Linked DNA regions of Oryctolagus cuniculus. The protein of the gene in region 1 purifies or fractionates together with the protein of each later gene. This does not show direct contact. Links are inferred from orthologs where the notes say so. Each region holds a gene or a part of one and is shown in the gene's direction. Other genes may lie near its edges.

What was found.
Region 2: the proteins of CDC27 (region 1) and CDC26 purify together in Homo sapiens (affinity purification with mass spectrometry; 12 studies listed by BioGRID and IntAct, with this or other methods). This does not show direct contact. The link is inferred for Oryctolagus cuniculus from reciprocal best matches to the Homo sapiens genes CDC27 and CDC26.
Region 3: the proteins of CDC27 (region 1) and NEK2 purify together in Homo sapiens (affinity purification with mass spectrometry; 6 studies listed by BioGRID and IntAct, with this or other methods). This does not show direct contact. The link is inferred for Oryctolagus cuniculus from reciprocal best matches to the Homo sapiens genes CDC27 and NEK2.
Region 4: the proteins of CDC27 (region 1) and ANAPC2 purify together in Homo sapiens (affinity purification with western blotting; 20 studies listed by BioGRID and IntAct, with this or other methods). This does not show direct contact. The link is inferred for Oryctolagus cuniculus from reciprocal best matches to the Homo sapiens genes CDC27 and ANAPC2.
Region 5: the proteins of CDC27 (region 1) and TTK purify together in Homo sapiens (affinity purification with western blotting; 3 studies listed by BioGRID). This does not show direct contact. The link is inferred for Oryctolagus cuniculus from reciprocal best matches to the Homo sapiens genes CDC27 and TTK.
Region 6: the proteins of CDC27 (region 1) and UBE2S purify together in Homo sapiens (affinity purification with western blotting; 4 studies listed by BioGRID, with this or other methods). This does not show direct contact. The link is inferred for Oryctolagus cuniculus from reciprocal best matches to the Homo sapiens genes CDC27 and UBE2S.
Region 7: the proteins of CDC27 (region 1) and CDH1 purify together in Homo sapiens (affinity purification with western blotting; 4 studies listed by BioGRID and IntAct, with this or other methods). This does not show direct contact. The link is inferred for Oryctolagus cuniculus from reciprocal best matches to the Homo sapiens genes CDC27 and CDH1.

The regions. Positions count from the first base shown.
Region 1 is NC_091448.1:17,013,784-17,016,794, forward strand, and holds part of CDC27 (cell division cycle protein 27 homolog), read left to right. Parts: intron 1-1,511; coding exon 1,512-1,586; intron 1,587-2,664; exon of another isoform or gene 2,665-2,683; coding exon 2,684-2,840; intron 2,841-3,011. UniProt on the Homo sapiens protein: Component of the anaphase promoting complex/cyclosome (APC/C), a cell cycle-regulated E3 ubiquitin ligase that controls progression through mitosis and the G1 phase of the cell cycle.
Region 2 is NC_091432.1:216,877,950-216,882,635, reverse strand, and holds the start of CDC26 (anaphase-promoting complex subunit CDC26), read left to right. Parts: upstream 1-1,709; 5' UTR 1,710-1,943; exon of another isoform or gene 1,944-2,396; intron 2,397-3,702; 5' UTR 3,703-3,805; intron 3,806-4,394; 5' UTR 4,395-4,434; coding exon 4,435-4,515; intron 4,516-4,686. UniProt on the Homo sapiens protein: Component of the anaphase promoting complex/cyclosome (APC/C), a cell cycle-regulated E3 ubiquitin ligase that controls progression through mitosis and the G1 phase of the cell cycle.
Region 3 is NC_091444.1:26,244,542-26,248,444, reverse strand, and holds part of NEK2 (serine/threonine-protein kinase Nek2), read left to right. Parts: intron 1-653; coding exon 654-891; intron 892-2,953; coding exon 2,954-3,079; intron 3,080-3,903. UniProt on the Homo sapiens protein: Protein kinase which is involved in the control of centrosome separation and bipolar spindle formation in mitotic cells and chromatin condensation in meiotic cells.
Region 4 is NC_091432.1:237,477,465-237,481,367, reverse strand, and holds part of ANAPC2 (anaphase-promoting complex subunit 2), read left to right. Parts: intron 1-305; coding exon 306-438; intron 439-1,799; coding exon 1,800-1,974; intron 1,975-2,228; coding exon 2,229-2,348; intron 2,349-2,637; coding exon 2,638-2,755; intron 2,756-3,903. UniProt on the Homo sapiens protein: Together with the RING-H2 protein ANAPC11, constitutes the catalytic component of the anaphase promoting complex/cyclosome (APC/C), a cell cycle-regulated E3 ubiquitin ligase that controls progression through mitosis and the G1 phase of the cell cycle.
Region 5 is NC_091436.1:92,424,547-92,428,449, reverse strand, and holds part of TTK (dual specificity protein kinase TTK), read left to right. Parts: intron 1-1,900; coding exon 1,901-2,077; intron 2,078-2,532; coding exon 2,533-2,617; intron 2,618-2,894; coding exon 2,895-2,992; intron 2,993-3,903.
Region 6 is NC_091449.1:3,531,057-3,535,393, forward strand, and holds the start of UBE2S (ubiquitin-conjugating enzyme E2 S), read left to right. Parts: upstream 1-1,308; 5' UTR 1,309-1,506; coding exon 1,507-1,509; intron 1,510-1,899; coding exon 1,900-2,047; intron 2,048-4,337. UniProt on the Homo sapiens protein: Accepts ubiquitin from the E1 complex and catalyzes its covalent attachment to other proteins. Catalyzes 'Lys-11'-linked polyubiquitination.
Region 7 is NC_091449.1:51,968,697-51,972,599, forward strand, and holds part of CDH1 (cadherin-1), read left to right. Parts: intron 1-492; coding exon 493-637; intron 638-2,994; coding exon 2,995-3,170; intron 3,171-3,298; coding exon 3,299-3,427; intron 3,428-3,903.

The DNA.
Region 1 (3,011 bases):
CCCTCAGGCCATCTAAGGCCTTCGAAATCCTTTCATCTGACCCTACCAAGGCAACTGCAGGCGGGACTCAAAATTCCCTAAACATGTATCAGGTTAATTTTTAAGTAGATCATTTTGTAAGGCCCACAAATGATGTTAAAAATCCTTGGCAGAAAAAATGTTTCATGCCCCAAGCCATCAAATTTGTACTATATGAAGCAATAAAAAACATACAAGTATACATACTTTTCTCCAGTTTGCTTTTGTCATTAACACTCTCCTGTTAAACAGGGGGACTTCAAAATGCTCATGGAAACTTAAAATAAAAGATAAATTTAGGGGCAGGCTAAACGTTAAGATGTGGCGTTGGAGCCGGCGCCGTGGCTCAATAGGCTAATCCTCCACCTTGCGGCGCCGGCACACCGGGTTCTAGTCCCGGTTGGGGCGCCGGATTCTGTCCCGGTTGCCCCTCTTCCAGGCCAGCTCTCTGCTATGGCCAGGGAGTGCAGTGGAGGATGGCCCAGGTGCTTGGGCCCTGCACCCCATGGGAGACCAGGAAAAGCACCTGGATCCTGGCTCCTGCCATCGGATCAGCGCGGTGCGCCGGCTGCAGCGGCGGCCATTGGAGGGTGATCCAACGGCAAAGGAAGACCTTTCTCTCTGTCTCTCTCTCTCTCACTGTCCACTCTGCCTGTCAAAAAAAAAAAAAAAAAAAAAAAGATGTGGCGTTGGGACCCCACATTCCATATCAGAGTGCCTACGCTTGAGTCCTGGCTCTGCTGATGGCACCTTCCAAGTAATGTGCACTCTGGGAGGTAGCAGATGATGAGCAAGTCCTTGGATCCCTGCCACATACACAGAAGACCTGAATTCGGTTCCTGGCCCAGCCCTAGAGATTGTGGGCGTTTTGGGCAATGACCAGTGACTAGGACCTCTGTCTCTCTGTCATTCACTGTCTCCCTCTTTCCCTGCTTCTGAAATAAACCATGAAAAATTGTTTTAAAATTAACAAAAGGTAAGTTTATTTTGGTGCAAAAAAATTGAAATCTAGGCACAATTTTTCCATAAGACACATTCTCCATTAACTTTTTTAAAAAAGATTATATTTTACTTTGTTAGTTAAATTGGGTAGGTTGATACTTGAAGCCTAATGCTTACTCAAGGAGACCAGATGGAACTTCAGGCTACTTTATTCTGTAACTTAGTTTTCAAACCACTTTCACAACCTGATAAGGTGGTTGTTGTTTTTAAGTAGAATGGTGACAAAAGCAAGGATTGTCACCACCTTCATGTTTCACAAAAGAGGCTGTGTGTGGGGAGGGGGTTTTCAGTGTATTTTGATGGGTGCTTGCCATTTCTTAGTTTTTGTTGTAACTTAAATGTTTTTCATTTTGTTTTCACAAGAATTAATGAAGTATATTGATTAAGATAACACCAAGCTTTTGTTTTATGATTTAGAAAATTAATAAACATAATTGCTTAATCAAAATGTAAAATTTTGCTGCTCTAAAATTTTTCTTTGCCTTTTTCAGTCTGCTTTACAAGAACTTGAAGAATTGAAGCAAATTGTTCCCAAAGAATCCCTTGTTTACTTCTTAATAGGAAAGGTAAAGATTGAGGCCATGGTCCTAAACTGTGATTTTCATACCAAATATTAACTTTTGAAGAATAAACATAATACTTTAGTGTACAGTATCTATTGAGAAAATTCAGTGAGAGCTCTGAACTAAGTGCTCTGAAGATAATGGATTTAGTTCTGACATCTTAAGAAGATAATGTCCTAATGAAGGAGCAAGAATACATAACCCATAATCCTAATCCAAAATGGTATTGGAAGTAGATTAGCAATTTGCAGCCAAAGGCAAGTAATGAGGCTGTAACTGAGACTACCACATGGAAAGCACTTAGCTTCCAGTTCTCAGTAAAAACACTTAGAAATCCCCCAGAAGAAGACTGTTAATACCTCAATATTGTCTTGATTAGAAGAAATGGCTTCCAAGATTCCTATTTTATAGGCTGGGATCTCAGTGTCTAATTGATTTAACTGGTACAACTGTGGGCAGATATTGAGTTGATAGAAGTATATTTAAAGTCAGCGTGAATGTACTTTTTTTTTTTAATATATTATTTGAAAGGCAGAGAGAGAGAGAGAGATCGTCCATCTGTTGGCTCACTCTCCAAATGCCTGCACAACAGCCAGAGGTTAGGACAGGCTGAAACCAGAAGCCTGGAACTCAGTCCAGGTCTTCCGTGCGCTGGCAGGAACCCAGCTACATACACCGTCACCTGCTGCCTCCAAGAGGCTGTATTAGCAGGAAGCTGGAATCAGGAGCAGAACAGGGGCTTGAAGCCAGGCCTCATACACAGGTTCCCAGCTGCCGCCCAAGTGCCCGCCACACTGTGTGAACGACTGCTAATCGAGCAGCTTGGAGTCCATTTCTTCCCGTTGTCAGTGTTCAAGTCAGAGTGAGATTCTTGGAAACGCACACCTGAAAGGTAGTCAGGGAATTCTGAACGTGGTATCTGAGTGCGCTCAGAAGCAGCTCACAGCCAGCGTGAGTCCGTCTGTGGATTGTAAATGTCTTCCCTGTCTGAATGGGGTTAGCACATAAATCAAGAGTCCCATTGAAGCTTTAAATGTTTAGAATTTTATAGCTGAAGCTCACAACTTAATGAAAAATGTAGTATTGCTGTTTATTTTTAGGTTTACAAGAAATTAGGTCAGACACACCTCGCCCTGATGAATTTCTCTTGGGCTATGGATTTAGATCCTAAAGGAGCCAATAACCAGATTAAAGAGGCAATTGATAAACGCTATCTCCCAGATGACGAAGAGCCAATAACTCAAGAAGAACAGATCAGTGAGTATCATACATATGACTTTGAGTATTTGAAAGCTACTTTTTGCATAAAGATTTGTGGACTGCTTGTTTTTCTATCCATGGGGTTTTATTTTCTTTATACCAAGTGGAATTTTAGGTGACCAGGGTGAGGTAATAATCAGATGTCTATGGAATCAGGTAGAAGGTCTC
Region 2 (4,686 bases), on another chromosome or scaffold:
AGAGACAAATGTAACCACTTAAATCCCAAATGTGCACTGAAAAAATTTCTGGTAAAAGAACTAATAATTCATGGGAAAAACAGTATATTAAAAGCTGTAGGGCCGGTGCCGCGGCTCACTAGGCTAATCCTCCGCCTTGCGGCACCGGCACACCGGCTTCTAGTCCTGGTTGGGGCGCCGGATTCTGTCCCGGTTGCCCCTCTTCCAGGCCAGCTCTCTGCTGTGGCCAGGGAGTGCAGTGGAGGATGGCCCAAGTGCTTGGGCCCTGCACCCCATGGGAGACCAGGAGAAGCACCTGGCTCCTGCCTTCAGATCAGCGTGGTGCGCTGGCCGCAGCGGCCATTGGAGGGTGAACCAACGGCAAAGGAAGACCTTTCTCTCTGTCTCTCTCTCTCACTGTCCACTCTGGCTGTCCAAAAAAAAAAAAAAAAAAAAATTCTGTAAAAAAAAAAAAAAGGCTCCTGGATGATGCTAGGTAGTGTAAGCAAAATATGAGTCTATAGATTCAAGTTTAAAAATTGAAAACTTGTAACATAAAACTACAGCTATCTAAGCTGAGGAAGGCACGCATTACAGAAAACTGGAGGTAAAGGTAAAGATGGACTGAAATCTGTCATCTTACCGGAGGTTATATTAATATTTCCTGCTTCAATTCCTGCTTTAAGTCCTTCTTTTCCCAAAATCCCAGATTCTCCTTTGGCCAGCCGCTCCCTTTCCTTCTCTTCCAGACTTCCATAATAAATGTGTGGCTTCTTCACCACCGGAGCCACCAGGTCATCAGGCGCTTTCGTTTTGGTGGCCTGCTAGACCGAAGGCTTCGATTAATTCAAGGCTCGATCTTAGCAATCCACGAGGCTTCCCTAAAGGGTGAAGTTCATCCTGACCTCCCCCAACAAAAGGCCAAACTGGGCGCCAGGGAAGATGCGCTTCACGGACCCGCGGGTGTGGGGATGGGGGCGGGAGGGCACGTCAGCCCTTCAATCACTTCCAGTTTGACAGCTTGAAGAGGTGGATTAAACCCGGTTCTCCGGGTGGTTCTGCCTCTGGAAGACGATCACTTCATTCTGTTGGAAGTGCAAGCTCTTTTTGGGTTTCGTGATACTTCCAGGGTTACCGTTTAACACGGGGGGAAACACCAAGGGTAAGGTAAAAGAACCGGCGTGGTGCCGAGGGAGGGGTAGCCAGTGACAACGCTCCTGCTCGGTCCATCTCAAGCGTTTTGAGACCTGTGGTAGCAGAGCAGGAGCCGGGAGGCCTCATCCCAATTCCGAGGTCTCCTATAGACAGCCACCGTGGCCAAGACACTCGCCCACTCCGGAGCCCTGGTTTGGACCAGTCGGAAGTGGTGTTTGCCGTTCGGGGCTGCGGTGGGACAGGTGCATACGAGTAACAGCACATACACTCGCTCAAGGGTCCGGGGAATGCTGCTCTGCTCTGGAGGGCAGGACCGAGTCCGGCAGCCCTCCACCCTGTCAGCCCGCTCCCTAACGGACCCTTCCCCGAGGGACCCCCACCCTCTCGGCGCTCCCTGCCGCAGTGAACTGAGATCCCGAGCTCCGTACCGTGGAGGACGCTCGTGACGAAGCCATGCTGGGCTCCGCAGCAGCCAAGCCCCAGAAAAAGCCAAGCTCTCCGTTTCAGACCATCCACCGCGCGCCCAGCAAAGCGGAACTACGTCACGGACCGGAAGTGAAGTCGGGCGCCGACGCAGCGCCCTGAGCGGCGCGGAGCATCATGGGAGTCGTAGTAGTTACTATTCTGGTCGCGTGGAGGGGCATGACCCTTAGAACCTCCGAGAAAAGCTCGCGGGAGACGAGGTTCTGGAGGGGAGAGGGGCGCGAAGCACTCTGGGAAGTGTAGTCCAGTTGGGCTCGCAGTAGATTCGTGGTGGGAGCTGAGGTTCCTTCCGGGAAGGGGCTGAGCGGGCTTGGAGAGAGAGGAAGGTGAGTCAAGTCGCGCGGCCGGGCGCTGAACTCTGGAGCTTACCGAGGGCTCCTAGAGACTTTACGTCGTCCCGGGGCGGAGGCCCATGTTGCCATGGAAACCATCGCCCGGACCGCTGAGTGTGGTCCTGGGGCTGGGCGAGGAGGGTTGTCGGGGTGGGGGTGGGGAGGAAAGTCCTCCCGGGGCCGGGGGCTCCGGCCGAGCTGGCTCAGTTTGCGGTGGATTTGGGCAGCGGTGAGAGATGAAGCTCAAAGAGCCCTCTAGCGTCTAAGTGAAGTAAAGAGCGGGCGAAGCTTCGGCCCGGTTTTGCTGTTGCTTTTGTTTCGTCTTCAGCCGGGTCTTTGTGTCAGACTGAGTGAGATGATGGCTAGGAAGGCGTCGGGTAGACCGCAGCCGACTCTCCTGCATAGCCCTGTGCTCCTCTGGGTGCGGGGGCATCAGCGATGAACAAGGCATGTAGTGGGTGGGAGACTCAAAATGTTCGTGTTTGCAGAGCTGGAACACCCCCCTCCCCCATCGTTATCTCTTCCGCCCCCCGCCCCCAACAACTGCAGTCATAAGTGCCTGTTATTTATTGAGCGTTTACTGAATACCACAGTTGTGTAGCCAGGAGCTTAATCGGCATTACGCCATTCAATTCAGACAGCAACAGAGTATAGAGGCAAGGAAGGTCTGGTGCGAGACAAAGATCGGAAACTTAAAGGGATCGGAGCCAGCACTTCAGCCGGGTCTCTACCCTGCTTCCTAGTGGTGGTGGTGGGCTTTTCGTTTTCGCAGAAAAGTTAAAATGCATAGCGATCTTCTCAGTATCCCTTCCTCACCCCATTTGGAACTTCGTTTTCCTCTGCTGCTTGTCGGCATTGGAATCTGGTGGACAGTATCAGATTTAAGTCAAAGCAAATTGAAATGTAATGTTTTGTCCTGGAAGAGGGGCAACCGGGACAGAATCCGGCGCCCCGACCGGGACTAGAACCCGGTGTGCCGGTGCCGCAAGGTGGAGGATTAGCCTAGTGAGCCGCAAAAAAAAAAAAAAAAAAAAAAAAAAGTAATGTTTTGTGTTACCACTGCGTGTCTGTCTCAGGCTTCATGGGAGGAGGAGGAAATGTTTCTTCTTTTATGCACTTCTCAGTCCCCGGTTTCATCCTGGGTACAGCCAGTGGCGTTCATTTACATCAGTCTCATTTAATCCTCACCCCACGGTCCTATGTGTGACTCCTACAGGAGGCCAGACTGGACAGCTTGCTTTGACTTCTTTCTCTGTAAAATAGGACGATCTTGCCAGCCTCACAGGGTTTTCGTATTAAAATAAGCAAGTGAAGAATGGTGATGGAAAAATTAGCCCAGTGCTCACTCAAGTTCATTTTACTTTAGTTGTTTCCTATATTCAGGGAACGTTTACTGACTGCCTAATGTACATACACAGACTCTGTTGGGTGCCATGAAGGTGCCCCTCAACAGATACTAAACGTGATGGGGAGTTCTGTTTGCTCAAAGAAAGGGTTTTTGTTAAAAGTATTGTCTTGACTCAGACTGTTCTCTTGAGCTTCTTTGTGCACTTGTTCTCTCTGCCTGCTCTTTAGATGTCGACTAAGACTCCATTTAGACATCATTTCCTGCCATAGGCCGTGTTTAACATCCCTGGCCACCACCCCACACCTAGTCCAGCTTTCGGGCCAGCATGGCTGCCATTGTATTCTCATCAGTGTTCTTGCTCCCCTCGCTGTTAATTTTCCCCTCACGTGTCTGTTTCTCCCACAGGTTGTGTCTGTACCTTTTAATTTTGTAGCCGGAGCACAAGAAGTCTTTGCTAATGAATGATCTGTCTGGTTGATTGAGACACTGAAGAGAATCTTGTGAATTGGTGAGTTCAGTTTTGCCTAGAATTTTCTTATAGGCAGCTTGCTGGTGTTCAGTTTTTTCAGAAAGAGGTTTTTGAATCACCGCGTTGTGGATCTCCATCATGAAATACAAATGTAAGAAGCATACACCTAAAGCCTTAAGAAATCTATGTGTGGGGCTGGCATTGTGGCACGGAAGGTAAACCACATCTTGCAATATGGCATCCCATATCAGAGTCTTGGCTGCTCTGCTTCCAGTCCAGCTCCCTTCTAATGTGCCTGGGAAAGCACCAGATAATGGCCGGTGTGTGTGAACCCCTGCCACCCACTTGGGAAACAACAATGGAACTCCTGACTCCTGGCTTTGGCCCGGCTCATCCAGAGACACTGTGGCCATGGGAGTAGTGAACTATGGTGGATGAGAGATCTCTGTCTCTCTGTGCCTCTCCATCTCTTTGTCACTCTGCCTTTCAAAAAAAGAAAGAGATCTATGTGTGAATCCAAGTTTGATTTTGCTATTGCCTTCACTTTAGTGTACATGTGTAGAAATTGGCCTTATGTATGTAACTGCAACGTATCACCTCCAGTTTTTCTCTGTGTCATTTTTAATAGCTCATAGTTGATTGGATCTGCTCTCAGTGTAGATTTCAGTATGCTGCGACGGAAACCCACGCGCTTGGAGCTCAAGCTTGATGACATTGAAGAGTTTGAGAGCATTCGAAAGGACCTAGAGGTAAGAGTGCAACTTTCAAACCCTTAGGAATAGCTAAAACAATAACTTGTGAACTCCAGACTCTTACACCAATAGCTCTATTTGTCTCCTTTGCAGGCATCTCAGACTTTTACTGTTAGATCCTGTGGCTGCTCTAACAAAGTACCACAAACTCAGTGACTCAAGACAACA
Region 3 (3,903 bases), on another chromosome or scaffold:
TTTTCCCTCCCACTCTCAGCACGCTGACAGGTGGTTGGCAGCAAGGAAGGTAACAGAAGAGAGCTGGATCCTCGGTTCCCCTGGCTTTGCCTCCCTCTCCGAGGCAGGTGGTGGGGAAGGGCCAGGGACGGGACTTTCCTGTGCTGCCTCCAGCTCGGGATGAGAGGGGAGAGCGCAGAAGAGGAAGGGCAGGAGGAGACAGCAGAAGAGGGGAAGCCACAGGGATAAGCGGATTTCGTGGAGAAACTTTGAACGTGGGATGGAGGAAGGAGGCTGAGGTGAGGGGGAGGGAAAGTGCCCCAGGGTCGCAGAGGACACAGGCGGAGTGGGGGGGGGAGGAGGCTGGTGAACGGGCGTCCTGTGCCCTTTCGCCCGGAGATGCCAGGACAGTGCTTGCCCCAGGGCTACCAAGCACCAGCACGAGGTGTGCCGTGGTACTTCGAAGGGGGAAGGGATGGGTTGCAGCTGCGTGACCCCATGGACCCGGAAGCTCATGGGTGAAAACCGGCAGTGAGCTTGTCTTTGAGCTAAGAGCTGTCCAGAGAGGAGCGCTTTCTTCTGCTTCGGCGGCGCGTGCCCTTGTCGTGTCAGGCTCCCTTGGGGTAGCTGTCTCGCCGGGCCCTCTGACTGCAGCCTCAGTACTGTGCCCCCAGGACTACCAGCGGCCCTCTGTGGAAGAGATCCTGCAGGACGCTTTGATAGCGGACTTGGTTGCCGAAGAGCAAGGACGAGCTCTTGAGAGAAGAGGGCGGCGACCAGGAGAGCCGGAAAAGTCGCAGGAGTCCAGCCCGGGGCTCAGCGCCGGCCCCGGGCTCAGCGAGCTGAGGCTGAAAGAGCTACAGTTGCAGGAGCGAGAGCGGGCCCTCCAGGCCAGAGAGGACCGACTGGAGCGTAAGTCTAAGTCGGGAAGGCGGCGGGGGTCCGGGGCGGGGAGCCCGCACGAGGACGCTGGATATGCGTGGATATTTCCGTGAACGGAACATGCGTGGGGCTTCTCTAGAACCTTCCTGTGTGTTCCAGACTAGATCATCAGACTCGCAGGCGCTTTCGCCTTAGATAGCTTTCTCTCAAATCGGCTGCCAGACACATTTTGTTTTACTGTAGAGTTGATTTTTTTCTTATCTTTAAGATAAATACCCTAAAGTTTTTTGTTTTGTTTTGTTTTTGTTTGTTTGTTTTTTAAGATTTTAAAAATCTATTTGTAAGGCAGAGTGACAGGGAAAGAGGGATCTTGCACTTGCTGGTTAACTCATGCCCAAACGGCTGCAACAGCTAGGACTGGGCCAGGCCAAAGTGAGGAGCCGGGAACTCCATCCTGATCTCCCACCTAGGTGGCCGGGGCCCGTGTACTTGGGCCATCACGGGCTGCCTTTCGGGTGCATTAGCAGGAAGTTGGATCAGAAGCAGAGCAGCCAGGACTTGAACTGGGCTCCAGTACGGAGTGCCGTAGTCGCAGGCAGCAGCTTAACCTGCTGTGCCACAGCGCCGTCCCTGTGAAGTTCTTCCATGGTGAAAGAAGACCTTGGGGCAAGCCTTTGACACAGCAGTTAAACTGCCTCTCGGGACTCCCGCCTCCCGTGTCGAGTGTCTGGGTCGAGTCCCGGCTGCGCTCTGCAGTCCAGCTTCCCAGTAATGCACACTTTGGGAGGCAGCAGGTAAGAGCTCACGTTGCATCCCAGCCACCCACGTGAGAGACCCAGATGGAGCTTCTGGCTCCTGGCTTTGGCCTGGCCCAGCCCTGGCTGTTGGTGGCCACTGGGAGAGTGAACCAGCAAATGAGCACTCTGTCTCTTGTCTCTGCATTTCCAATAAAAGATCATAAGTAAAAAGGTTTTCAAAGTTGCTGCCTTCCATAATAAAAACCATGACTTCTACCTTGTGCAGGGTCTACGCCAACACAGTTCCGGGTCTGAAGTCCTGGGAGTGCCTAGGAGTGAGCTACCCTGAGGCAGTTGGGCATATGGGTGTGAGATCGCCTAGGTTAATAAATAATACCTGCTGGGTGTTGGCGCTGGCTCCATGAGTGCTGACTGATACGGTGCCAGTTAGTCTGTGATGCTGCAAGTCTGTCTGCGCCACCCAGAGCTGCCAGTGCGATTTTAGGGCCATGCGAGGCAGCGGCAGCAGTGGAAGTCTTCCCGTGAACACAGGAGACGAGGGCTGGGGCTGTGGCCGCCTCCTGCTGCCCCCTGGCTCACTGACTCTGCCGCTGCAGCTTTAGGCACCATGCAGGCTCTAAGCTCTTTAATGCTTAAATGCTCTCGTAACGCACACGGTGCGTTTGTTAACATTTTCCTCCCTGACGCTAACGGCAAAGTGCCGTCGAGGAACGGGAGCTGGGCTAAATCCAACCTTTGCTCACCGAGAGACTTTGTTGACTCCTCCAACCAAAGAATTCTGCAAAAAATGAAAATAAAAACACAGGCATCATCTGAAAATTGGCCCCCGTGTCCGGTAACCTCCCGCGGCAGCTGAAGCGCGAACACTGAATTTTGGGCCGGGAGTGGAGTTGCCATCGTTTCTGTTTAGAGCTGCTTGCTGCTGCCTTCCCTTCCACTCGGTGCCGTGCACCAGCCAGCAGAGGGAGAGTCCGTCCCCACTGTCCCCACCGTCCTGTCGCCGCCCCGGCCAGGAACTGTCGCTTGTTTTCAGTCACAAGCAGACATGGTTTTTGTGTTTACCCTCTCAGTCAGCTCCCACACAGCCTGACCCAGGGTTGGAGCTAACGTCGTTGGGCTTAAACAAGTCCTTGCAAGAAAACCCAAGCTGACCTACAACGAATCAGAACAGAGGCTCTAGCATACTCGGGTTGAGCAGGGACTCTGCTAAGAAATCGCTCTCAAAGCATTGCTACTCAGGGCCCAGGCACCTAGAGGTAGTGATTAGAAAGAGCAGTAAAACAACCAAATGTGAATTGTCGTGTTTTTTTTTTTTTTCCATGCCCCTTTTATAGAGAAGGAACGTGAGCTCTGTGTCCGTGAGAGGCTAGCAGAGGACAAACTGGCTCGAGCAGAAAGCCTGGTGAAGAACTACAGCTGGCTGAAGGACCGCAGGCTCCTGTCTCTGGGGAGCAATCCAGGTATGAGAACCGACTCCCTAACCCGGAGCTGGTGCTACCAATGAAGACGTGTGCCGGTGGCACCCGAGGTGGCTTTGCTAACCCTCCTAATGTACAGAGTCCCAAGTACATTCAAGGTGGATTTCCTTGAATTGATGCATATCCATGGAAATAAAATTCTATTATGGTGATGATTTATTGACTGGGTTCATTGACCTGAGGCAATGAATCGTAGGACTTCCTCTTAGGTTGAATTCACATGATCAGACCCCGTGGTTAGTGTTTGACATTTATTTTTAAAATTTGAGCACGTTTAAAAACTGCATTTCAGAGTTTTGCTCTGGTGTATTTTCAAAACTCTACGTCTCTCTATATTTTCAAGTGAAAATCCTGGCGTTTTAACACTGGCACACCTCGTGCTTTATAGAAAGGGTGGCCTAAAAGGCACGTTCCCTGCCAGTTGGGTGTTTTTATACTATTTATTGCAGCTTTCCTGGACTCCACACTGCCCTCTGACGCCAGACTAGACTGACTCGTGGTTAGGAGGGTAAAACACAGAGGGAATCACACCTGCGGGAGCCTCCGCGTGGGAGCGGCTGCAGGCCCTCAGCCGGGGTTGCTTACATCCTGCCCGCATAGGAGTTGACCAGAGGGTGAAAATAGCTCGATAAGGATGGGGGTTCACCCTATAGGACACAGGGGTAGGTGTGGGATCCACTGTGTGTGAATCACGGCCAGTACTTAAAATGAGCTGTGGGAGCTGTGACTCCGCTGGGCTGGGAGGCACCGAAGGCGCTGAGCCGCTCAGAACATGAGATGCACACCGGGGCCGTGAGGAGTGGGCG
Region 4 (3,903 bases), on another chromosome or scaffold:
CACGGGCCCTGGCCGTGTGTCCCCCGTGGGGCCCTGCTCGTGTGCCCTGGCCGTGTCCCCGTGGGGCCCTGCTCATGTGCCCTGGCTGTGTGTCCCCCGTGGGGCCCTGCTCGTGTGTCCTGGCTGTGTCCCCCGTGGGGCCCTGCGCGTGTGTGCCCTGGCCGTATGTCCCCCGTATGTCCCCCGTGTGTCCCCCGTGGGGCCCTGCGCGTGGGCCCTGGCCGTGTCCCCGTGGGCCCTGCGCGTGCGCCCCCGTGTGCCCCGGCCACGTGGCCGTGCCGTGTCCCACACAGGCTCTCCCCCAGGCACCGGCTCAGCCTGCTGGAGCGCGTCAGTGCCGAGGCGGTGACCACCACCCTGCACCAGGTGACGCGGGAGCGCATGGAGGACCGCTGCAGGGGCGAGTACGAGCGCTCCTTCCTGCGCGAGTTCCACAAGGTGACCTCCCCGCCACGCTGGCGCCAGGGGCGGGGTGCAGGCCGGCGGCAGTGTGGACGGGGGGTGAGGGGCCGGGGGCGGGGTGCAGGCCGGCGGCAGTGTGGACGGGGGGTGAGGGGCCAGGGGCGGGGTGCAGGCCGGCGGCAGTGTGGACGGGGGGGGGGGGGACGGGGGCGGGGTGCAGGCCGGCGGCAGTGTGGACGGGGGGTGAGGGGCCAGGGGCGGGGTGCAGGCCGGCGGCAGTGTGGACGGGGGGATGAGGGGCCGGGGGCGGGGTGCAGGCCGGCCGGCAGCATGGACCGGGGGGGGGGGGATGAGGGGCCAGGGGCGGGGTGCAGGCCGGCCGGCAGTGTGGACCGGGGGGTGAGGGGACGGGGGGGTGAGGGGACGGGGGGGTGAGGGGATGGGGGGGACTGGGGGAGTCAGGGGACTGGGGGGGTGAGGGGGGTGAGGGGACTGGTGGGATGGGGGTACTGGGGGAGAGGGGACTGGGGAGGTGAGGGGCCGGGGGGGTGAGGGGACGGGGGGGATGGGGAGGACTGGGGGGGTGAGGGGACGGGGGGGTGAGGGGATGGGGGGGACTGGGGGAGTCAGGGGACTGGGGGGGTGAGGGGGGTGAGGGGACTGGTGGGATGGGGGTACTGGGGGAGAGGGGACTGGGGAGGTGAGGGGCCGGGGGGGTGAGGGGATGGGGAGGATGGGGGGGGACTGGGGGAGTCAGGGGACTGGGGGTTGAGGGGACGGGGGGGATGGGGAGGACTGGGGGGGTGAGGGGCCGGGGGGGTGAGGGGACGGGGGGGTGAGGGGATGGGGGGGACTGGGGGAGTCAGGGGACTGGGGGGGTGAGGGGGGTGAGGGGACTGGTGGGATGGGGGTACTGGGAGAGAGGGGACTGGGGAGGTGAGGGGCCGGGGGGGTGAGGGGATGGGGAGGATGGGGGGGGACTGGGGGAGTCAGGGGACTGGGGGTGAGGGGACTGGGGGGGTGAGGGGACGGGGGTATGGGAGGGGACTGGGGGGGTGAGGGGATGGGGGGGACTGGGGAGGTGAGGGGACTGGGGGCCGTGTGCTGCACCCGTACAGCAGAGGGCTGGGGCTGAGGCGGTGTCTGGGCGAGTGGGCCCATGGGGGGCTGTGGATACGCAGGCACTCACGGTCGTCACCACGGCTGAGTCTGTGGCCCCTGCCTGCCAGGGACCTGCCGGGCCCTGATGCGCAGCAGGGTGTGAGGCGTAACAGGTGCTGGGGGCGGGGCCCACCCTGCAGGGGCGAGGTGGGCCTGCCGAGGCCTGACCAGCAGGGTGGGCAGCCTCTGGGTTGGCTGGGGCTCACTGCCACTCACGCGTGGGGGCTCTCCGACAGTGGATCGAGAGGGTGGTCGGCTGGCTGGGCAAGGTGTTCCTGCAGGACGGCCCTGCCCGGCCCGCGTCCCCGGAGGCCGGCAACACGCTGCGGCGCTGGCGCTGCCACGTGCAGAGGTTCTTCTACCGCACCTACGCCAGCCTGCGCATCGAGGAGCTCTTCAGCATCGTGCGGGGTGGGTGCTGCCCCCACCCACGTCCTGGCCACACCCCGCCGGCTCGCTGTCCCCTGCCCCTTCGGCCTGGTGGGCAGTGACCCCGCGGGGTTGCTGTGCTGAGACGCCGCCCGTGCGAGCGTCAAGGGTGCCGTCCCCAGAGCGCCCGCAGCCCGTGTGTCCTCGCCGCGTGCGCCTTCCCGGCCTGCCCGTGTGTGCGTGTGCGTGTGCGTGTGCGTGCGTGTGCATGGCCCTGAGGTGGCCCCTTCCCGCAGATTTCCCAGACTCCCGGCCGGCCATCGAGGACCTCAAGTACTGCCTGGAGAGGACGGACCAGAGGCAGCAGCTGCTCGTGTCGCTCAAAGCTGCGCTGGAGGCCCGGCTCCTCCACCCAGGTGCCCTCAGCCCCGGCGCAGCCCCTGGGCCGGGCGCGCTCCTGGAGGAAGGCAGGGCCCAGCTGGTCTGGCCTGGGGTGGGGGCTCCTCAGAACAGGCTGCCTGGTCCGTGGAAGCCTCTGGAGAAAGTGCCTGTGAGAAGGTGGAAGTGGGGGTGGGGTCAGCTCCCTGTGGTCCCCTAGGGAGACAGGTCCCGGGGGAGACCCGTAGGCTGCCCACTTGGGTGTTGGCACCGGCACCTGGGGGCTGCTGTCCAGGACTCTGAGTGACCGCGCCCCCACCCCCGCAGGCGTCAACACGTGTGACATCATCACTCTCTACATCTCGGCCATCAAGGCGCTGCGTGTGCTGGACCCCTCCATGGTCATCCTGGAGGTGGCTTGTGAGCCCATCCGCCGCTACCTGAGGTGAGGCCCCGCACCAGGGAGCCGGCCTCCCGGCCTTCTCACGCCGGGCACCTCGGGGCTCCTATCCCCCCCACTGTCCCTGTGTCCTGCAGCGACCCGGCCCCCCACGGTCCCAGTGTCCCCCTACAGTGACTCGGCCCCCCCACTGTCCCAGTGTCCTGTGGTGACGCGGCCCCCCACTGTCCCAGTGTCCTGCAGCGACCTGGGCCCCCCACTGTCCCTGTGTCCTGCAGTGACCCGGGCCCCCCTCCACTGTCCCTGTGTCCTGCAGTGACCCGGGCCCCCCTCCACTGTCCCTGTGTCCTGCAGTGACCCGGGCCCCCCTCCACTGTCCCTGTGTCCTGCAGAGACCCGGGCCCCCCACTGTCCCTGTGTCCTGCAGAGACCCGGGCCCCCACTGTCCCTGTGTCCTGCAGAGACCCGGGCCCCCCACTGTCCCAGTGTCCTGCAGCGACCCGGGCTCCCCACTGTCCCTGTGTCCTGCAGCGACCCGGGCCCCCCACTGTCCCTGTGTCCTGCAGCGACCTGGCCCCCACACTGTCCCTGTGTCCTGCAGAGACCCGGGCTCCCCACTGTCCCTGTGTCCTGCAGAGACCCGGGCCCCCCACTGTCCCTGTGTCCTGCAGAGACCCGGGCTCCCCACTGTCCCTGTGTCCTGCAGCGACCCGGGCCCCCCACTGTCCCTGTGTCCTGCAGCGACCTGGCCCCCACACTGTCCCTGTGTCCTGTGGTGACCTGGCCCCCCACAGTCCCAGTGTCCCCCTGCAGCGACCCGGCCCCCACACTGTCCCTGTGTCCTGTGGTGACGCGGCCCCCCACTGTCCCAGTGTCCCCCTGCAGCGACCCGGCCCCCACACTGTCCCTGTGTCCTGTGGTGACGCGGCCCCCCACTGTCCCAGTGTCCCCCTGCAGTGACCCGGCCCCCCACTGTCCCTGTGTCCTGTGGTGACGCGGCCCCCCACTGTCCCAGTGTCCCCCTGCAGTGACCCGGCCCCCCACTGTCCCTGTGTCCTGCAGTGACCCGGCCCCCCCCACTGTCCCTGTCTCCTGTGGTGACCTGGCCCCCCACTGTCCCTGTGTCCTGCAGCAACCTGGGCCCCCCACTGTCCCTGTGTCCTGCGGAGACCCGGCCCCCCACTGTCCCTGTG
Region 5 (3,903 bases), on another chromosome or scaffold:
TCTTCCCGGTCTCCCACATGGGTGCAGGGGCCCAAGGACTTGGGCCATCTTCTACTGCTTTCCCAGGTACATTAGCAGTGAGCTGGATTGGAAGTGGAGCAGCCGGTATTCGAACCTATGCTCACATGGGATGCCAGCACTGCAGACCAGGTCTTTAACCCACTGCGCTGACACCCCCCACCCCCAGCTTCTTAATTTAAATAATAACTAATTTAACTTTAGTATCCTTGCCTGCAATTAAAAAACATTAATACTATGAATTTTAGATGGCTTTGTGGCATAGCAGGTTAAGCCACCATTTGGGATTCCCACATCCCGTATTAGAGTGCTTGGCATCTAGTCCCCTTTTCATTTCTGACCCAGATTCATGCTGCTGACCATGGGAAACAGCAGATGAGATAGGCCACATATTTTGGTTCCTATCTCCTATATGGGACACCCAGATGGAGTTCTAGGTTTTTGGGTTTGGACTGACCCAGCCCTGGCTGTTGTGGGCATTTGGAAAGTTAACCAGTAGTTGGAAGCTTGCTCACTCTTTCTCTTTCTCATTCTACCTTTCAAATAAATAGATATGAAAACAAAACAAGGCAGGCATTGTGACACAACAAGGTTAAGCCACAACTTGGAATGCCCACATCCTATGTCAGTGTTCCTAGGTTTGTGTCTTGGCTCCTCTGCTTCCAATCCAGCTTCCTGCTGATGCATCCTGGGAGGCAGCATATGTGGGAGACCCCAAATGGACTTCTAGGCTTCTGGCTCCAGCCTGGCACAGCCCTGGCTATTGCAGGCATTTGGGAAGTCAACCAGTGCATGGAAGATAAGTCTGTCTCCTGTGACTCTGCCTTTCGAGTAGATTAAAAATTAAAAAATGAAAATTATAACTTGTACTCTGAGTTTTTACCCTAGATGCTATTTTTACAGATTTTACTGTAATTTCTTAATTTTACTCATGTCTAAAATTTGTAATTTAAGCTTTCAGGTTTCCATTTTACTTTGATTTATTTTTTGAGGGGCCAGAGTTGTGGTGTAACAGGATAAGCCACTGCCTGTGATGCTGGCATCGCATATGGGTGCTGGTCACAGCTGCTCCGCTTCCAATTAATGCACCTGCAAAAGCAGAAGCAGGTGGCACAGTGGTTTGGCCCCTCACCCACATGGGAGACCTGTATGAAGTTCCTGGCTTCAGCCTGGTCCAGCCCTAGCTGTTGCAGCCATTTCAGGAGTGAAGCAGTGGATGGAAGATCCCTCTCTGTCTCTCCCCCTCTCTTCTGTAACTCTGACTTTCAAATACATAAATCTTTAAAAAGAAAGTTAAAAATTTTTTAAAAAGTGGGAAGATTTCTTTTAAAAAAAGTGATTTATTTTGAATTGCACATAAGAGGTTTTTTTTTTAGTTGTCAACTGAATGATTTAATACTTAATGGTAAATCTTAATACTTGAATTAATATACAGTTTATTATAATCAGTCATTCTGGGAAAAATTAGAGTTTATAGTTATTTACTTTTAGTATGTATATTTGTTTATATAATTATGTTTATAATTTTAAGTATATTAGAGTTTATAGTTTTTTTATTTTTCCACTTATTTTCAGAAGTGAACAAAAATATTTTGTCTCAGTTGAAATATTTTAATTATGAATTTGTTGGAAGATTTAAAGTGAAAATCATCTCTGGATGAAATAACCAAATGTAATGAAAACTAGAAAAAGATGGTTTGTCATGTAAATATAATCTAGTGCTTGCACATTCAGTGAGAGATACTTATATTATTAAATATTAAGGAATTTACAATGAAAGGGCTTTGAAAACACACACACATGCACATTTTTATATTAGGAATGTTCTTAGATTCTATTATATATTAAAATAATGCAATTTGTTATTTTTTTTCCTACTTAGATAAGCCCAAAAAGTGATGTTTGGTCCTTAGGATGCATCTTGTACTATATGACTTATGGCAAAACACCATTTCAGCATATAATTAATCAGATTTCCAAATTACATGCCATAATTGATCCCAATCATGAAATTGAATTTCCTGATATTCCAGAGAAAGATCTTCAAGATGTGTTAAAGGTAACATATATATATATACATATAATATATATGATATATTATAATACTTAATATAATTAATTGTTTAAAATAAATGGAATGAGTAGAAGTATATAACTGGCTTAAATATAATTATTCTATTAAGTGGTTTTATTGACTGAATTAGCTTTTTAGAATGTGTTTAGTTTACCTTGAAGGTATGAATACTTGGGTTTCCCAAGTGGCTTGAGTGGTAGCCTTGTCATTATTTCGTGCTATATGAAGGGTCTTTAAAAATTTCATACAAATGTATATTAAGAAAATACTTTGGATTTCAAAAAATTTTTTGCACCTACATAAACTTTCATGAACTCTAATATACTCTCTTATCTAGAAAGAAACTTCTATGATATATAACCTGGAAAAAATATTTTTATCAAAGGCACATAGGAAAACTTAACTTTTCTTTTTTAAAAACTTAATGTTTATTTTCATAGCGTTGCTTAATAAGGGACCCTAAACTGAGGATATCGATTCCTGAGCTCCTGGCACATCCATATGTTCAAATTCAAGCTCATCCAGGTACTACTGCCTTAAAAATTACTAAATTCCTAGACAGCCTATTTGTAAATACAGATAATCTGAATTGACTACCTTTTAGCCTGCCTTATTAAAGTAACTAAAACTGCCTTTTTTTTACCAGCCGGCATACATTTTTCATTTATCCTGTGATAAAAGGCTATGATCAGTGATAAATGATAAGAATCAGTTTTTGTGCTGTTAAACGGAATATGTTTTTATAATGGACTATGTTTTTCTTCTTGGCTCTAGTGAATTATTGGCTGTATTTATTTTGTAGGTAACCAAATTGCTAAGGGAACATCTGATGAAATGAAAAATATTCTGGGCCAACTTGTTGGTCTGAATTCTCCTAACTCCATTTTGAAAGCTGCTAAAGTAAGCATTTCCATTCTTTGTCTACATTGCTCTTAACTGTTTTAAGTAGTTCTGTGAGTTCAACACTTAAAGAAGCAGATAATCCAAAGTGTTGGTTCAGTCATCAAAATTAGTTAGTTATGAAGGATGTTTCTACATTTAGATACTTCACATGTTTTTTGACAAATAGAGATTTATTTGGTTTATAGTGTTGTGCATACAGCACAGTTCAGAATGGTTTGTCATATGTGGTACATTTGGAAGATTACTGTCAGGTCTCAATTGGAATATATTTAATGTAGGAATCTGTTAGCTAAGCACCATCCTTAACAAAGGATTAAATTCCTTCTGCCCCATTTTTAAAAAGTATGTATATATGTATGTAGGTATGTATTTGAAAGAACAATAGAAAGAGGGAGGGACAAATCTTCTATCTGCTCGTTTATTCCCAAATGGCTAGGACTGGCCCCAGCCAAACCTGGGAGACCAGAATGCCATGTGGGTCACCCACGTGAGTGGTGGGGGCCCAAGTACTTGGGCCATCTGCTGCTGCTTTCCCAGGTGCATTAGTAGGGAGCTGGATCAGAAGTGGAGCAGCTGGAGCTGGATCCAGTGCTCTGATATGGAATGCTGGTATCAGAAGCAGCAGCTTATTAATTCTTTGTGCTACAATGCTGGCCACCTAGGTAATATTTTTCTTAAGCCTTGTTAGAGAAATCACAGTGTCTGTCATATGTTGTGGCTTCTGTGAAGCTGCAAAGAGCAATCAGTACATTTCTCAAGTTTTTCAGCCTCCCAATCCTGTTTATACCTATACCATGATTTTTAGACCTCATTGTCATCAAACACATTCATTTCTAGAACCCCATGAGTGTTTATTGACCAAATATGTATTTATGTATTTCTGTTATAAAATTTTAGGAGCTTAAACT
Region 6 (4,337 bases), on another chromosome or scaffold:
GGTCATCCCCGCGGAACGCCCGCAGCACGGTGCGTGCACATGGCAGGTGCAGCAGGTGTCCGCCGGCCCACCGGGCGCTCCCGCCCCGGCCCGCTGTGCTCCGGTGGGTTCCTGAGGGGGTCCAGTTTAACGGCCAGCTCCGCCTCTCCGGGCCGGACCTCCGGCTTCCTCGCCTGTCAGACGGGCTAACCCGACAGCCGGGCCCCGCCAACCTCGACCCGCTGCCCCCACGAGCGCACGGGGCCACGCGGGGCCTCAAGGCCGCCCCCTCGCCTGGCGTCTCCGGCCACGGACACCCGCGTCCGCACACGACGCCCTTCCCAGACTCCTGACCGGGAAGGGGCGTCCCGGAAGAGGCCGGGAGCCGCCTGTCCGTCACAGGTAGAGCCACGCCCCGCGCCTCCCTTCCTTCCCGGGCATCCCCAGGGCTCCCCGGCCGCACGCGCAAGCAGGCCCCGCGTCCTCGCCGAGGCCAGGCGAGGGTCAGGGGCCACACCCCAGAGGGCCGGCCGGCGAAGCACGTCTTCCACGCCACGCCGGCGAGGCTCTGAGCCTCGGGGACCTGGGCATGTCCGGCACAAAATGGCGCCTCCGAGAAAAACGAAGCGGGATTTCCCGCGCCCGCCCCCGGCCCAGGGAGAGGGGGCTCGGCGGGCACTGCACGCCTCATTTGCATATACAAAAAATCAAGACATTTCGTTGGCTGGAAGCACTTTGGCCCGCGCTCTTCTGGGTAGTCATTGGTCGCGCTCCTTTCTTGCCCGCCCCCCAGCCTCGGCACCGCCTTCTCCGTCAGGGATTGGTCCGCGCGAGCCTCGTGACTCCCCCATCGCTAGTGCGCGTCCGTTCGGCCCGAGCGCCTTCCGTCACCCGTTTAAAACCCACGAGTCCCGCCCCCTCTCGCCCCTCCCCGCGCCTCAGGGCGACCGTTAGTCGCGTGCGCGTCGTTCTCGGCGTCGGGGCACGCGCGCGTAACTCGGGCGTCCGATTCAAACGGCCCAATCAACGGCCGCAGCATCTCCCGCGCCCCCTTCCTCGCTGCTCCGCGCCCTCAACCGCCGCCCTCTCCCGGCGCGCTTCCCGGCTCCTGCGCGCCCCCGCGGGCCGGCCCGCCGCTCAGCCCCCGTCCCAGCCTCTCTCGCTTCTACCTGAGCTGCGCGGAGGGGGCGCCAGCGCGTGAGCGCGGAGGCGCGTGCGTGCTGACGTCACGAGCCGGGCGCGGCGCGGCGCGGCCTGCGGGGGGCGTGGCCTGCGGGGGGCTACAAAAGGGCGGCGGGGCGCGCACGGCGAGTTCAGTCCGGCTCGGCTCCCGCGGCGGGCGGAGCGGCGTGCGGTGTGCGCGGCGGCGGCGGCGGCGGCGGCGGCGGCGGAGGGGCGCGGAGTGGAGCTGCGGGTCCGCGCCAGGACCGCGGCGGCGGCTGTTGACCCCTTCCCCGCGCCCCGGTTGGCTTCCCCGGAGATCGCAAGAAGGGGGCCGGGGGGACCCGCCCCCGGCCGGCCGCAGTCATGGTGAGCGCGGGGGTCGGGCCGGGCAGGGCCGCCGAGGGGCTGTCCTGGAAGAGCGGGCGGGCGGGCGGGCGGGCGGCCTCCGGGGTGGGCGCAGGCCGGGGCGGGGACTCCGGGCCTCCCGCAGGCGGGGCCGGAGCCTGGTTGTGCGGCAGGTGTCCCGGCGCGGGAGGCCCGGCGGGGCCGCGGGGAGGGCTCCGGGCGCCTGGTGGTCCGCCCGCGGCTGTCAGCGGGAGCGAGGACGTCCCGCCGCCATTTCCAGGCCTCGGCCGAGATCGGTGGGGTAGGGATGGCAGGCCCCGGGCGCGGCTGGCAGGCGGCCTGGGCTGCAGGGTCGAGCGCAGGGCGGCCCCCAGCTGTGGGCGGCTCACGCTGCCTCCCGTCCGTGCCCAGAATTCCAATGTGGAGAACCTGCCTCCGCACATCGTCCGCCTGGTGTACAAGGAGGTGGCGATGCTCACGGCCGACCCGCCCGACGGCATCAAGGTCTTCCCCAACGAGGAGGACCTCACCGACCTGCAGGTCACCATCGAGGGCCCGGGTGAGTGCGGGGCCGCGCGGGGCAGCGACGGGCGGGCCCTGTTCCGGAAGTGTTGGGAGCCCGCGCGCCCGGGCTCAGGACGGGGCTGTGAGCGAGGGGACCCGCGGAGGGGGCGGGAGCCTGCCGGCCGCAGGTGCGCCAGAGGGTCCCGCACTCCATCCTGCAGCCAGCGGCCGGGGCCGCCTGGCGGGAGCCGGGGCCGGGCACACCGTCCCTGCTCGCCCCTGGGTTCCCACAAAGCCAGCGAGGTGCGAACAGGAGCTCCTGAAGGGGCACTAGCCCTGGTGGCCAGCTGGAACGGGGCTCTGTGGGACAGAGAGGAAAGTCGGTGGGGAGGCACCGGCTCTTAGGTCTGCTAGGCCTCTGGTCTGGGAGGAGAGCTGGAGTCGGTACTGTGGTTAGCCCGCACAGGGCCCCCAGACCCACAGGCCAGGCTGTGATACCCGCACAGGGCCCCCAGACCCGCAGGGCAGGCTGTGATGGCTACACAGTGCCCCCAGACCCGCAGGCCAGGCTGTGATACCTGCACAGGACCCCCAGACCCGCAGGCCGAGCTGTGATGGCCGCACAGGGCCCCCAGACCCACAGGGCAGGCTGTGATGGCCACACAGGATCCCCCAGACCCGCAGGCCAGGCTGTGATACCTGCACAGGACCCCCAGACCCGCAGGCCGAGCTGTGATGGCCGCACAGGGCCCCCAGACCCGCAGGCCGGGCTGTGATGGCCTACACAGGGTCCCCCAGACCCACAGGCCAGGCTGTGATGGTCACACAGGGTCCCCAGACCCACAGGCCAGGCTGTGATACCCACACAGGGCCCCCAGACCCGCAGGCCGGGCTGTGATACCCACACAGGGCCCCCAGACCCACAGGCCAGGCTGTGATACCTGCACAGGGTCCCCAGACCCACAGGCCAGGCTGTGATACCCGCACAGGGTCCCCCAGACCCACAGGCCAGGCTGTGATGGCCGCACAGGGCCCCCAGACCCACAGGCCAGGCTGTGATACCTGCACAGGGTCCCCAGACCCACAGGCCAGGCTGTGATACCCGCACAGGGTCCCCCAGACCCACAGGCCAGGCTGTGATGGCCACACAGGATCCCCCAGACCCGCAGGCCAGGCTGTGATACCTGCACAGGACCCCCAGACCCGCAGGCCGAGCTGTGATGGCCGCACAGGGCCCCCAGACCCGCAGGCCGGGCTGTGATGGCCTACACAGGGTCCCCCAGACCCACAGGCCAGGCTGTGATGGTCACACAGGGTCCCCAGACCCACAGGCCAGGCTGTGATACCCACACAGGGCCCCCAGACCCGCAGGCCGGGCTGTGATACCCACACAGGGCCCCCAGACCCGCAGGCCGGGCTGTGATGGCCCACACAGGGCCCCCAGACCCGCAGGCCAGGCTGTGATGGCCGCACAGGGCCCCCAGACCCACAGGCCAGGCTGTGATACCCACACAGGGCCCCCAGACCCACAGGCCAGGCTGTGATACCTGCACAGGGTCCCCAGACCCACAGGCCAGGCTGTGATACCCGCACAGGGTCCCCCAGACCCACAGGCCAGGCTGTGATGGCCGCACAGGGCCCCCAGACCCACAGGCCAGGCTGTGATACCCACACAGGGCCCCCAGACCCGCAGGCCGGGCTGTGATACCCACACAGGGCCCCCAGACCCGCAGGCCGGGCTGTGATGGCCCACACAGGGCCCCCAGACCCGCAGGCCAGGCTGTGATACCCACACAGGGCCCCCAGACCCGCAGGCCGGGCTGTGATACCCACACAGGGCCCCCAGACCCGCAGGCCGGGCTGTGATGGCCCACACAGGGCCCCCAGACCCGCAGGCCAGGCTGTGATGGCCGCACAGGACCCCCAGACCCGCAGGCCGAGCTGTGATGGCCGCACAGGGCCCCCAGACCCGCAGGCCGGGCTGTGATGGCCTACACAGGGTCCCCCAGACCCACAGGCCAGGCTGTGATGGTCACACAGGGTCCCCAGACCCACAGGCCAGGCTGTGATACCCACACAGGGCCCCCAGACCCGCAGGCCGGGCTGTGATACCCACACAGGGCCCCCAGACCCGCAGGCCGGGCTGTGATGGCCCACACAGGGCCCCCAGACCCGCAGGCCAGGCTGTGATGGCCGCACAGGGCCCCCAGACCCACAGGCCAGGCTGTGATACCCACACAGGGCCCCCAGACCCACAGGCCAGGCTGTGATACCTGCACAGGGTCCCCAGACCCACAGGCCAGGCTGTGATACCCGCACAGGGTCCCCCAGACCCACAGGCCAGG
Region 7 (3,903 bases), on another chromosome or scaffold:
GATCCCCGACATGGGAGGGGCTCGATCTGTTGCCAAGGAGACGAGACAGGGGCACCCAGGACAATTTGAAGTTGTGAATTGTTTTCCTTTTAGGAGAAAGGGGGGGACAGTGCTCTCGTACCATGCGTGAGTTTAGACCCAGGATATCAACCTGCTCTTGGCTTAAAGGAGCAGTGGTGACACTGGGGGAAGAACCAGTTCCTGGACTTGGTAGCAGGCAGTGTGGGTTTGGGGCGGCTGGAGGGAACGTGTTGGTGCACGTGCAGAGGGGTCTGGGGCAACTCCAGACTGGATGGCTTTATCCCTTCTGGGCCTGATGCCCTGGTCCTCGGGGTGGGAAGCAGAAGGGGGTCAGGATCTCACTGAAGCAGCAGCCCAGGTCTCAGAGTAGAAGTCGCAGAGGCCGGAGGATCCCACACTGCCCTGGCCAGGCCCATCCTCTGCCTCTTCATCCTCGCCGGGGCCCGAGTAACCTTCCACTGGCTCCTGCAGCTCTTCTCTCACGCCGTGTCGTCTAACGGGAACGCCATTGAGGACCCGATGGAGATCGTGATCACGGTGACGGACCAGAACGACAACAGGCCTGAGTTCACCCAGGAGGTCTTCAAGGGCTCGGTCATGGAAGGCGCGCTACCAGGTCTGTCCAGGACGAGCGGCTGGTTGCCTGGAGCCGGGGTCAGGCCCCTGACGCGGACCCTTGCTGTGGACAGAACTTGTTTGGGAGCCAGTGTGTGTGTGTGTGTGTGTGTGTGTGTGTGTGCACATGCAACACAACCTAGCCTCAGGAATGTGCGACTGATGGAGCAGTGACAGCCACCTCCCCCCCTGCCTAACACAGCAGTGCTTGTGTATTGCTCTTTGTTCTTCTAAGGTTTATTATTTGAAAGTCAGAGTTAGCCATCAGTTTTCCGTCTGCTGGTCCACTCCCCAGACAGCCACAACCATCAGGGCTTAGCCAGGCAGGAGCCAGGAGCTTCATCCAGGTCTCCATGTGGGTGGCAGGGGCCCAAGCGCTTGGGCCATCTTCTGCAGCTTTTCCCAGCCCATTAGCAGGGCACTGGATCGGAAGTGGAACAGCTGGGACTCAAACCAGGACCCATATGGGATGCCAGCATCGCAGGTGGAGCCTTACCTGCTTTGCCATAGCCACATGTGCTGCTCACACAACATGCTGAGCCATGTTAAGCGATGACAGAGTGTCTCCCAGGTGGCTGAACCGGTTTACATTCCCACCAGTAATATAGATCCTGGGCTTACTGGACATTTTGGCGTTTGCCTACCTGTCGTGTGATTATGTCTTAGTGCAGTTTAAAAGGGCATCTCAGTGATTACCAGTGAGCTACACAACTTTGCTAGCCACTTGTGTTTCTTTTTCAGGACTGTGTGTGTGTGTGTGTGTGTGTGTTTCTGTTGGGCTGGTTGTGTTCCCTAGTGATCCTTTTCCTAACTGTGTAGTTGTTTAAAAAAATTTTACTTATTGAGGGATAGAGAAAGAGCACTCCCATCTGCTGATTTACTCCCCAAATACCCACAACATCTGGAGCTGGCCAGGCTGAAACCAGGGGCCAGGAACTCCAGGTCTCCCATATGGGTTGCAGGGACCCAAGTACTTGGGCTATCACCTGCTGCCTCCCAAGGTGCAGTAGCAGGAGGTGGAGTCGGGAGCAGAGCCAGGACTTGAAGCTAGGCAACTCCAGTGCCTACTCAGTGCCTTAGCCACTGGGCCAATTGCCTGCCCCCTTGTTGATTTTTTTTTTTTTAAAGATTTTATTTATTTGAAAGGCAGAGTTAGAGAGGTGGAGAGAAAGAGAGAGAGGTCTTGTATCTGCTGGTTCACTCCCCAAATGGCCACAACGTCAAGAGCTGGACCAACCTGAAGCCAGGAGCTTCTTCCAGGTCTCCCATGTGGGTGCAGGGGCCCAAGGACCTGAGCCATCTTCCACTGTTTTCCAGGCGCATTAGCAAGGACCTGGATCAGAAGTGGAGAAGCTAGGACTTGAACTGGCTCCCATATGGGATGCTGGCACTGCAGGCTGGGGCTTTAACCCTCTACGCCACAGTTGCTGGGCCCAAACCCTACCCTGTTGATTTTTAAGCATTATTTAGATGTTCTAGATACTAGACTAGACACTAGTCTCTTGTCAGTCACACGTGTTAATGAGTATTTTCTTCCACCTTGAAGGCAATGATCTCAAATTACCATGCACTCCAATAAAGCTGCAACAACAAGCCAAGTGAGGAAAGTTCTGGAATGTTCTTTCTGTCTGTCTGTCTGTCTTTCTTGGCAGAGGAAAACAGGAGAGATTGATTGATTGTTCATCTTCTGGCCCACTGCCCAGATGGTTGCAATGGCCATGGCTAGACCAGGCTTAAGCCAGGAGCCTGGAAACTCCATCCAAATCTCCCACCTGGGTGCAGGAACCAAGCACTCAGGTCATCTTCCGCCGCCTTCCCTGGCACATTAGCAGGGAGCTGGATCAGAATTAGAACAGCCGGGGCTCAAACTGGTGCTTGTACATAATGCCAGCATTGCAGATAACAGCTTAAGGCATCACACTACAATGCCAGTGCCTGGATTTTTCTTATCTTTGATGCCATTCACTCAGTAAAGCCACATCACAAAGTGTTGTAGAGATATTTAGTCCTCAGATTCACCTCTGCGTGCTGCCCGAAATGTGTGTTGGAAAAGTTGGGTCCTCGTTTGGCTGGATGCTTTCTTCCTCCCCTTGCGCTTTAGTGAGAACGTCAGAGAATTGGCATCAGCTGCTGGTGGGGGAGCCTGGCTGTCGCAGGCATCCGGGGAGTTAACTGGTGGGAAGGAGCTCGCTCCGTCCGTCTCTAACTCAACGGATAAAGTAAAAGTTCAGCACTCAGGGCCCAGGAGCTGGGACGTGACCGCATCGAAGCTGCCCTCTGTCCTGTGGGCACGAAGTCGGCCCCAGGGCGGCCGTCAGGTTCCCAGCCTGATTGCGTCTTCTTCCCCGGGGCAAACAGGAACGTCCGTGATGCAGGTCACGGCTACGGACGCGGACGATGACGTGAACACCTACAATGCTGCCATCGCCTACGAAATCCTCAGCCAGGAGCCCGAGCTGCCGCACAAGAACATGTTCAGGATCAACCCGCAGACCGGAGTCATCAGTGTGGTCACCACCGGGCTGGACCGAGAGGTCAGGAGGACCCAGGGGACATGGAAGCGGCTGTGTGGTTGGCTAAATCCCGTGGCAGTGCGAGGCCACTTGTCCCAGAGCGGCGGCCGCTGCCCCCGTCCTAACCCGAGTGTGCTTGGTCTCCGCAGACGTACCCCGAGTACACCCTGGTCGTTCAGGCTGCTGACCTCCAAGGCGAGGGCTTGAGCACCACGGCGGAAGCGGTGATCACGGTCACTGACATCAACGACAACCCTCCCGTCTTCAACCCCACCACGGTAATCTCCCAGCGGTGCTGCTGCCCTCTGTTTGGGAGCCGAGCTTCCCCACTGCTCTGGGGAGGTCCTGCGTGCGCTCCCCAGCCCGGGCGATGCCGACTTAGAACCTGGAGGCCAACGCTCCGGCCTGGCCGTTGTGCTCGGGCATCTTTTTTCCCATCTCTGGCCCCGAGGCCCCTTGGTGGAGGACCGCGAAGATGCAGACAGCGCCCCTCAAAACCATGTCCTTGCCTCGCGTGTCCTTGTTGCGGATCTTACAGGGGTTCATTTACTCGCTGGGCAAATGTTTCCTGCTTGCAGCTGCACACTGTGGCGTGCGCTGGAGGCATCCTCACAGACAAAGCACACACAGGTTCTGTTCTACAGCTCAGCGTCTAGCCGGGGAGATACTGAGTAGTTTGCACGCCTTACTGAATACCAAGTATAATAAATGCATTCTGGAAGAAGGCACCGAGGGCCGAATGGAAGAACTTACT